Linked DNA regions of Danio rerio. The protein of the gene in region 1 purifies or fractionates together with the protein of each later gene. This does not show direct contact. Links are inferred from orthologs where the notes say so. Each region holds a gene or a part of one and is shown in the gene's direction. Other genes may lie near its edges.

What was found.
Region 2: the proteins of ryk (region 1) and pcdh7b purify together in Homo sapiens (affinity purification with mass spectrometry; 3 studies listed by BioGRID and IntAct, with this or other methods). This does not show direct contact. The link is inferred for Danio rerio from reciprocal best matches to the Homo sapiens genes RYK and PCDH7.

Annotation. Positions count from the first base shown.
Region 1 is NC_133181.1:30,100,867-30,104,298, forward strand, and holds the end of ryk (tyrosine-protein kinase RYK precursor), read left to right. Parts: intron 1-1,033; coding exon 1,034-1,170; intron 1,171-1,826; coding exon 1,827-1,938; 3' UTR 1,939-2,928; downstream 2,929-3,432. UniProt on the Homo sapiens protein: May be a coreceptor along with FZD8 of Wnt proteins, such as WNT1, WNT3, WNT3A and WNT5A. Involved in neuron differentiation, axon guidance, corpus callosum establishment and neurite outgrowth.
Region 2 is NC_133182.1:66,389,793-66,394,215, forward strand, and holds the start of pcdh7b (protocadherin-7b), read left to right. Parts: upstream 1-1,616; 5' UTR 1,617-2,409; coding exon 2,410-4,423.

The DNA of each region.
Region 1 (3,432 bases):
GTTATTTATTTCTCATCTGCTGTATATTTCATTAATTTGATGATGTTAATATTTTACTATCTTTATGCATATCTAAAATGCTTTTGGCAATACAAAATGTCATGCCACTAAAGCAACTTGAACTTCAGAGAGACTTTTTTACCTGTCAGTGGGTGCACATGGTTCCTAAATAGCATCAAATTCTTAAAAAATGTATTTTTAATTTCAATAGCTTTTTATATATATATAAAAGAAACAGGGTATAACTGTCATAATAAATAAAAGTTAAAAGTTAAAAATCACATGGGCGACACGGTGGCTCAGTGGTTAGCACTGTCGCCTTATTGGAAGTAGGTCGCTAGGTTGAGTTCCGGCTGGGTCAGTTGGTATTTCTGTGTGGAGTTTGCATGTTCTCCTCGTGTTTGCCTGGATTTTTTACTGGTGCTCTGGTTTCCCCCACAGTCCAAACACATGCAGTATAGGTGAATTGAATAAGGTAAATCGGCCGTAGTGTATGTGTGTAAAATAGTATGGATGTTTCCCAGTACTGGATTGCAACTGGAAGGGCATGCACTGTGTAAAGCATGCTGGAAAGGTTGGCGGTTTGTTCAAAGGACTAAGCCGAAGGAAAATGAAAGAATGAAAGAATTTTTATTTTATTTTTTTATCGCATATAGTTGACTTTATGTGCTGTGGGTAAAAGGTGTGTTTATATTTTAGTGACATTTATATTGAATAATAGAAAATAGTTAAAACGCATACATTAATTCAGAAAATAAATATAACTTCTATATATATACTTATCTATATTTTCAATTTTATTTAAAGTTTGCTCATTACAAGAAACTTCCCATAAGCCCAATATAAAGATTGGAATCTTCTTATCTTCTGTGTTTATGTACAGTATAAGGACCTGTAAGCACACAACAGACTTTTTCCTAAACGTCTGCCTCGAGTGTTTACATCACTTGTTAAAGAGAGGAATCCTCTTTCTTTTTAAGTCATTGTGCCTTATTGCGCCTTGCCTGAACTCTTGTGTGATGTTTTCTTACAGTGGGCTTTCGGAGTAACTCTATGGGAGTTGATGACTTTGGGACAGACTCCTTACGTTGACATTGACCCCTTCGAGATGGCCGCCTATCTAAAAGATGGTTACAGAATAGCACAACCCATCAACTGCCCCGATGAACTGTGAGTATGACAATTTAATTTTTAACTTGGTGTGCACGTACTGGATTGCCAATTATTTTAAAATGAACAAACTATTGCATTACTGCGTGACTGGCAAGACTCCCAAAGTGTCAGTAACAGCTTTCATAAGTCTTGATTACTTTGTAAGGGAACCAACCCAACTGTTAGAAAATGAAACGGACAGATTGATCCAAGTTCAACAACTGCTGGCTGCCTGCACAATCTGACCCTTATCGGCATCCTGCAATAGCTAGGCAACCGGAGCCGTGGTGATCGAACCGGCCAGGAATTACAAAGCAACAAGTGTTGTTGACCGTGTCAGTGACCCAAACAGAGCACGATTTATTGTCTCGCGCGTGAGCACCGGAACATAGTTTAGACGACGCAGGAAAAGCTAATCAGTGTTGGATCGTAGCTTAGCACACTTTCCCTCCAGAGACCAAGCGATGAATAAGTGTTCTGCGGCTTGCCTTGTGTGTTGGAAAGCTGGAATAGAAACTGAGTGATAAGGTGATCTCAACTTTCACTCCATTGTTGCTGTCAAACGTAATCAAGACCAATACATCTTGTGGACCCAGTTATTTATTCTCTGATAAATCTGCCACAGCAAAACAAAACATAATGCTTTGTTTATATGAGGATGTTCTCCGTTTCAGATTTGCAGTGATGGCGTGTTGCTGGGCCTTGGATCCGGAAGAGAGACCAAAATTCCAGCAGCTCGTCCAATGCCTCACCGAGTTCCACGCAGCTTTGGGGGCCTACGTGTAAACTGGCCCAAACCAGCCGAGTTGTTGATCAGCACTATTCCAGAGAATAAAAGTAAACGCAGTGCCTTACTTTATACGAAACTAGCCATTTTATAAAGTGTTTGTACTTCATGCGATATGAAACGCGCTTTTGTTTTGGACGATGTAGCTTCGGAGGTCAGTATCATTTGTATATCACAGCTGTGTGAAATAACAAGGACTATTTCTGATTCTCAAACAGCCAGATTTGTTTGGAATGCTGGTTTTAGGGTGTCCACAGGAAGCTGCTGTTTCACAAAAGATGCCTCCTAACAATAGAAGTGACAAGAAACTGACCTAAAAGTTTGGAAATTTCCTTTTGGACATTTTAAAATATTGCTCGAAGTAATTTGTGCATAATATGTTTTCAGAGACTTCAGCGAGAGGAACGTATCTCCGCTGCGTTATGTCCTGCATTTATTTGTTTGTTTTTTTAGACCACTTTGTGAGAGAACAGGTCTCCACTTCCTTAAATATATACTGAAAAAAAGGCCTCATCCAGGACACGGCAATTGGTACGTAAACTAGATGTTAAACAAATGACAGCTTTTCCTTTCGGAACTAAAGATGATAGAGTCCTTACAGGTTTACCTCCTTAAATTATGAGATAGTCGTGGAGGTGTGGAGCAGTGCGTTGGGATCCTGCAAGTCAACTGGACTTTGGTACAGGGTTTTTTTTTTTCAAAATTCCTAAAGCTTTTGATGTTTGACTGTTCTGTGTCAGAACAATGCCTTCCTTGTACGTTTAAAACTGTATGAATACATGGACAAGAAAAGAAACATGAGTCACTGTGAATATTTGACATGTATGGCCTAGACACCATTCTCCAATCTTTTGTTCTGAATCTATAGGCTCTTCTTTCTATCCTTGTGATCACCGCATGTTGACTTTTTTAAAAGGTTTTTGTGTAAACTGAATTCATACCTATCGATTAAATGAGGCCTCTAAATAAAACGAGATCTCTGTGTTGGCTGTTGGTGTCTTTTGATGCATGATTTAACACTTTTAGGTGTTCATTTACATGTTTTTGAAAGTGGTACCATTATTGACTACAGAAACGTGATTTTGTTAAAAACCTGTGACATTTTAAAGGGACATTGTGACTGTTTGTCATGCTGGATTACTTGACAAACAATGTGTAAGGGAGCATAGTGTTTCTTTAATACGTTTAATCACCAACTACTAGTCTGGCATGTGTAATGCAGCTTTTGCAGACAGTTTTGTCATCTGTTCGCAAAACCTTTTAAAAAATGTAATGTTTTTTGTACCCTAAATCCATTTTTTTGACACTAGAAACTTTGTTCCACCGCGTGATGCAATGAAAGCATTTTTATTTTACTGATAAGCTGAAACCATCATTTTGTTTTGGCCTCTACTCTAGTATGATGATTTAAGTGTTGTACTTTAATGCGTAATAACATTGTGCAAATGTTTATCTAAAAAGAGCAGCCAAAAGGTCATCAGTAATTTGTGTGT
Region 2 (4,423 bases), on another chromosome or scaffold:
TAGGAGTGAAAATGGTGCTCGGATTTGACTCACAAATTGAAAGAGAGCAGATAGACTTGAGCCTGTGTAAGATATATCAGGAAAACCCCGATTTGTGCATGCTACGCTGCAATTCCAGCTCAACATATATGCTGTAATGACTAATTTGCTGAGTAGAATTTTAACGCGACAACAGAGGGCGCTGTTTAGCGACATTTGGCGCACTGTTCTTATGAATAGCGGGGCTTCCATCCTTCTGCAGCCGGCAGCTCCGGTCCAGTCACCTCGCGCTGGGGATTCAGCCAGCTCAGCCATCTCAGCCACACTTCAGTGGAGTAAAAAAAAAAAAAAACGCACATCCCTTGAAACATGAACTTTCATAAACAGGCATAGTGCAGAAAATATATTCTTAAATGTCATGCACACTGTCGATTTATGTTTAATGAAGAAATGATTTTAGCTTTGGAACGCGCAAGTTACTAACTATGCGATGTATATAAAATCGTAGCTCTTTGCTGTGCGCTTGATGGTCTCCATCAGAGTTCTGGTCACGGAGAGTCGCCGCGCTCGCTCTCTCACTCCTTTACACCGGTGAGTCAACGGCGCGTCGCTGTCCGTGGTGCCTTTTCTGCGCAAAAAAAGCCCATAGCAGATGGAGGAGCATGAGTGTGAAGTAGTAGAAGTGCTCATCGCATACATATTCGTGACAAAGAAATGTTCTCACCACAAACGACCACACGCATTTAAATTCTAACAGACCGAGAAGCCGCAAGGGGCTCTGAAACCGAGATGATCTGACTTGTACGGAGTGGCATAATGAATAGGGTACTGTTATGCACGGAGCCAGGGGTGTAAACAAACATATATTTTACAGTTTCCTCACCTTTTCTGTTTGTTTTAATTTGATAACATAAGGTTATCTTGTTTATAACATTTTATAAAGTTTTTTAAGGTGAATGCATTTGTGTTGTAACACGAGATGGAAAGTGCTGACGCGTTAATATATAGGCCTATCATTAATCTATCAAACGCACCACTTCTATGACGTGCTATCCCATTTAAGACCTATGACTTGTGCACTGCATTCTTAAAAAAAACGCCTTCCAGATAGAATGTTTCCCTAAAGTTTGAAGACAAACCAGTCTAAATATTCTACTCCTGCTTAAAGAAATCGTGTTTGAATAAGGATGTAACCATAGCAACAGTTCCGTTACGCTTTAGTGCCATCGACAAAACGTAAGTAATGTCATTTAATGACTTTACTATAGAGCTGCACACCGTAAACGTAATGCAGGCATATTTCAGATAGCTGACGGTTGACTAACCAGTTTTACTTTGCGCAACACCCAAGCACTCAGCAGAATGTGATTCCCTTTACAAAGTCGAGCCCCTTTTGGGAGGCATTTAAGATTTCGAACACAGTGAACCACCAAACACTCTATAAATGTTCATTTCTGGACAATAAATTATTTATGTACTTTCTTCTTGCAATAAAAAATGCCCTTCTGAACCAAAAGGAAGAGACCCTCCTCAAACAGTAAAACTAAGCGATCAAGTTGAGCTTTGTTTGTCGCACAGGGAGCGCAGCGTGAAGGGGGTGGAGAGAGAGGGAGAGAGAGAGAGAAAGAAAGAGAGAGAGACTCGAGCGCAGAGTGCGGCATATACACACGCGCTTCTGCTGCAGGTGAGAGGCGCGCGCTGGACAGAGGAACCGTCCTCGCGCTGGAATTTTAATACCACATTCCTAGCATCTCTGCCAGGATTATAACTCCGTTATTGTTCAGTTTTGCATTTTGCCTTAACGCTGAACGGCACTGCGGAGATTTTCCCCATTTTTTTTTCGCTCTCTGGTGCAAGTGAGAGAACTATTAGACGCTGAGTGGACTGGAGAAATCTGTGCGCGCGGACACGGCACACGGATAGCACAGATCTTTTGCGGCTTATAACCACAGCACATGAAGTTCTGATATTTCAGTTTCTATTCCGTATGGTGGGATATCATCTGGAGAGGAGAGTTCGCATTTGGGAAGGCTGGATTTAAAACCTCATCAGTTGATTGCGCAATGGATTGAATATCTGGCTTCGATGATTTTAATGAAGACTCGGCGATGTCAAGTCATGGCAAACACGGAGTAGTCTCAGCAAGTAATTTATGGCATGTTTATTTCAAGCTTAATACTGAATGAATTTGTGAAGACTTTCTGTCAGTGCTGTGTATATGTTTGAGAGAAAAACCTATTTATAAAAAAAGAGGAATTGCGCGAGTCTAGTCTGAGCGGGGGAAAAAAACAGATATGCGCTAGTTTGGTTACCACATAGAGGTGCCCGGTTGTGAAAACGCATGCAGTGAGACAGGCGCGTTAACACAAGCAAGAAAAAGCTGTTAAACAGAATTCACGTTCAGTTTTGCTGGAAAAGCCGCCAGGAGCTATGAGGACTACAGGCATTGTGGACTATTTAAGCTACTGCTTTCTTATTCTGCAGCTGCTGAGTCAGCCCGCAGCCAAGCAAGTGCTCCGGTACCGCCTGGCTGAGGAGGGTCCTGCCGATGTCCGGGTAGGTAATGTAGCCGCGGACCTCGGCATCACGGCAGGCATGGACGTGACTTTTACATTAGAATCAGGCTCCGAGTACTTCAAAATCGATAACATGACCGGAGACCTCAGCACAAACGAGCGGCGAATAGACCGCGAAAAGCTGCCGCAGTGTCAAATGATTTTTGATGAGAACGAATGTTTTATAGATTTCGAAGTGTCTGTGATAGGACCCGCGCAGAGCTGGGTTGATCTCTTCGAAGGCAAAGTGATTATTTTAGACATTAACGACAACACGCCGTCTTTCCCCTCACCTGTTCTCACGCTCTCCGTTGAAGAGAACCGACCCATTGGCACACTTTATCTCCTGCCCACTGCCACCGACAGAGATTTTGGTCGGAATGGAATTGAGCGATACGAGTTAATTCAGGACAACGGCGAGAGCACTGTCAGGCGAATCGGCACTTCCGGCTCGGGCAGTGTTGACAGTCACTCGGGCAAGCGGAGGTTCGACGAGGGAGCAAGCCGTAGCAGCGTCTTTGAACTTCAAGTTGCTGACACCACAGACGGCGAGAAGCAGCCGCAGCTAATTATCAAAGGGGCTCTGGACAGAGAACAGCGCGACTCCTATGAGCTGACTCTGCGGGTTAGAGATGGGGGCGACCCCCCACGCTCCTCCCAAGCCATTCTGAGAGTAATGATCACAGATGTAAATGATAACACCCCACGCTTTGAGAAAAGTGTTTATGAGGCAGACCTACCAGAAAACAGTTCCCCAGGTGCCCCCATACTCCAGCTAAAGGCAGGTGACACTGACGTTGGTGTTAATGGACAGATCGAGTATGTTTTCGGAGCAGCCACAGAGTCAGTGCGACGACTGCTGCGGCTTGATGAGAGCACTGGCTGGCTCAGTGTTTTGCACCGAATTGATCGTGAAGATGTGAGCCAGCTTCGTTTCACAGTCATGGCACGTGACCGTGGTCAGCCTCCTAAAACTGACAAGGCGACAGTGATCATAAACATCAAAGATGAAAATGACAATGTCCCAAATATTGACATCCGAAAAATTGGACGCATCTTTCTGAAAGACGGCGTGGCTAATGTGGCAGAGGATGTGATTGTCGATACACCCATTGCTCTCGTGCAAGTGTCAGACAGAGATAAAGGACCAAACGGTATAGTGACATGCACTGTAGTGGGTGATGTTCCTTTTCAGCTGAAACCTGCCAGCGAGGTCGAAGGTGACATGAATAAAAAGAAGTACTTTCTCCACACATCAGCACCACTTGATTATGAAGCCGTGCAGGAGTATAACGTGGTCATTGTTGCCGTGGACTCTGGGAGCCCTAGTCTTTCTAGCAACAATTCACTAATAGTGAAGGTGGGGGACATGAATGACAATCCACCAGTTTTTAGCAAAAGCACAGTGGAGGTTTCATTTCCTGAAAACAATGCTCCCGGTGAGCGTGTTGTCACAGTAGTGGCCTTAGATGCAGACAGTGGCAAAAATGCTGAAATCTCCTACTCCCTGGACTCCTCTGTGAACGGAATATTTTCAATTGATGCAGACACAGGTGACATCCGTGTCAACACCATACTTGACAGGGAGCAGACGGAACGATATGAGTTCAAAGTTATCGCCAAAGACAAAGGCATGCCAGTTCTGCAGGGCTCAGCCACGGTGGTAGTTTTGGTGGCAGATAAAAATGACAATGAGCCAAAGTTCATGCAGGATGTGTTCACTTTCTATATACAGGAAAACCTTCAACCCAACAGTCCTGTTGGCATGATTACAGTCATGGACGCTGACAAAGGGCAAAATGCAGATATGAGTCTGTACATTGAGGAGGAGGAGAACATTTTCTCCATTGACAACAACACAGGTACCATTTTCTCAAACATGGCTTTTG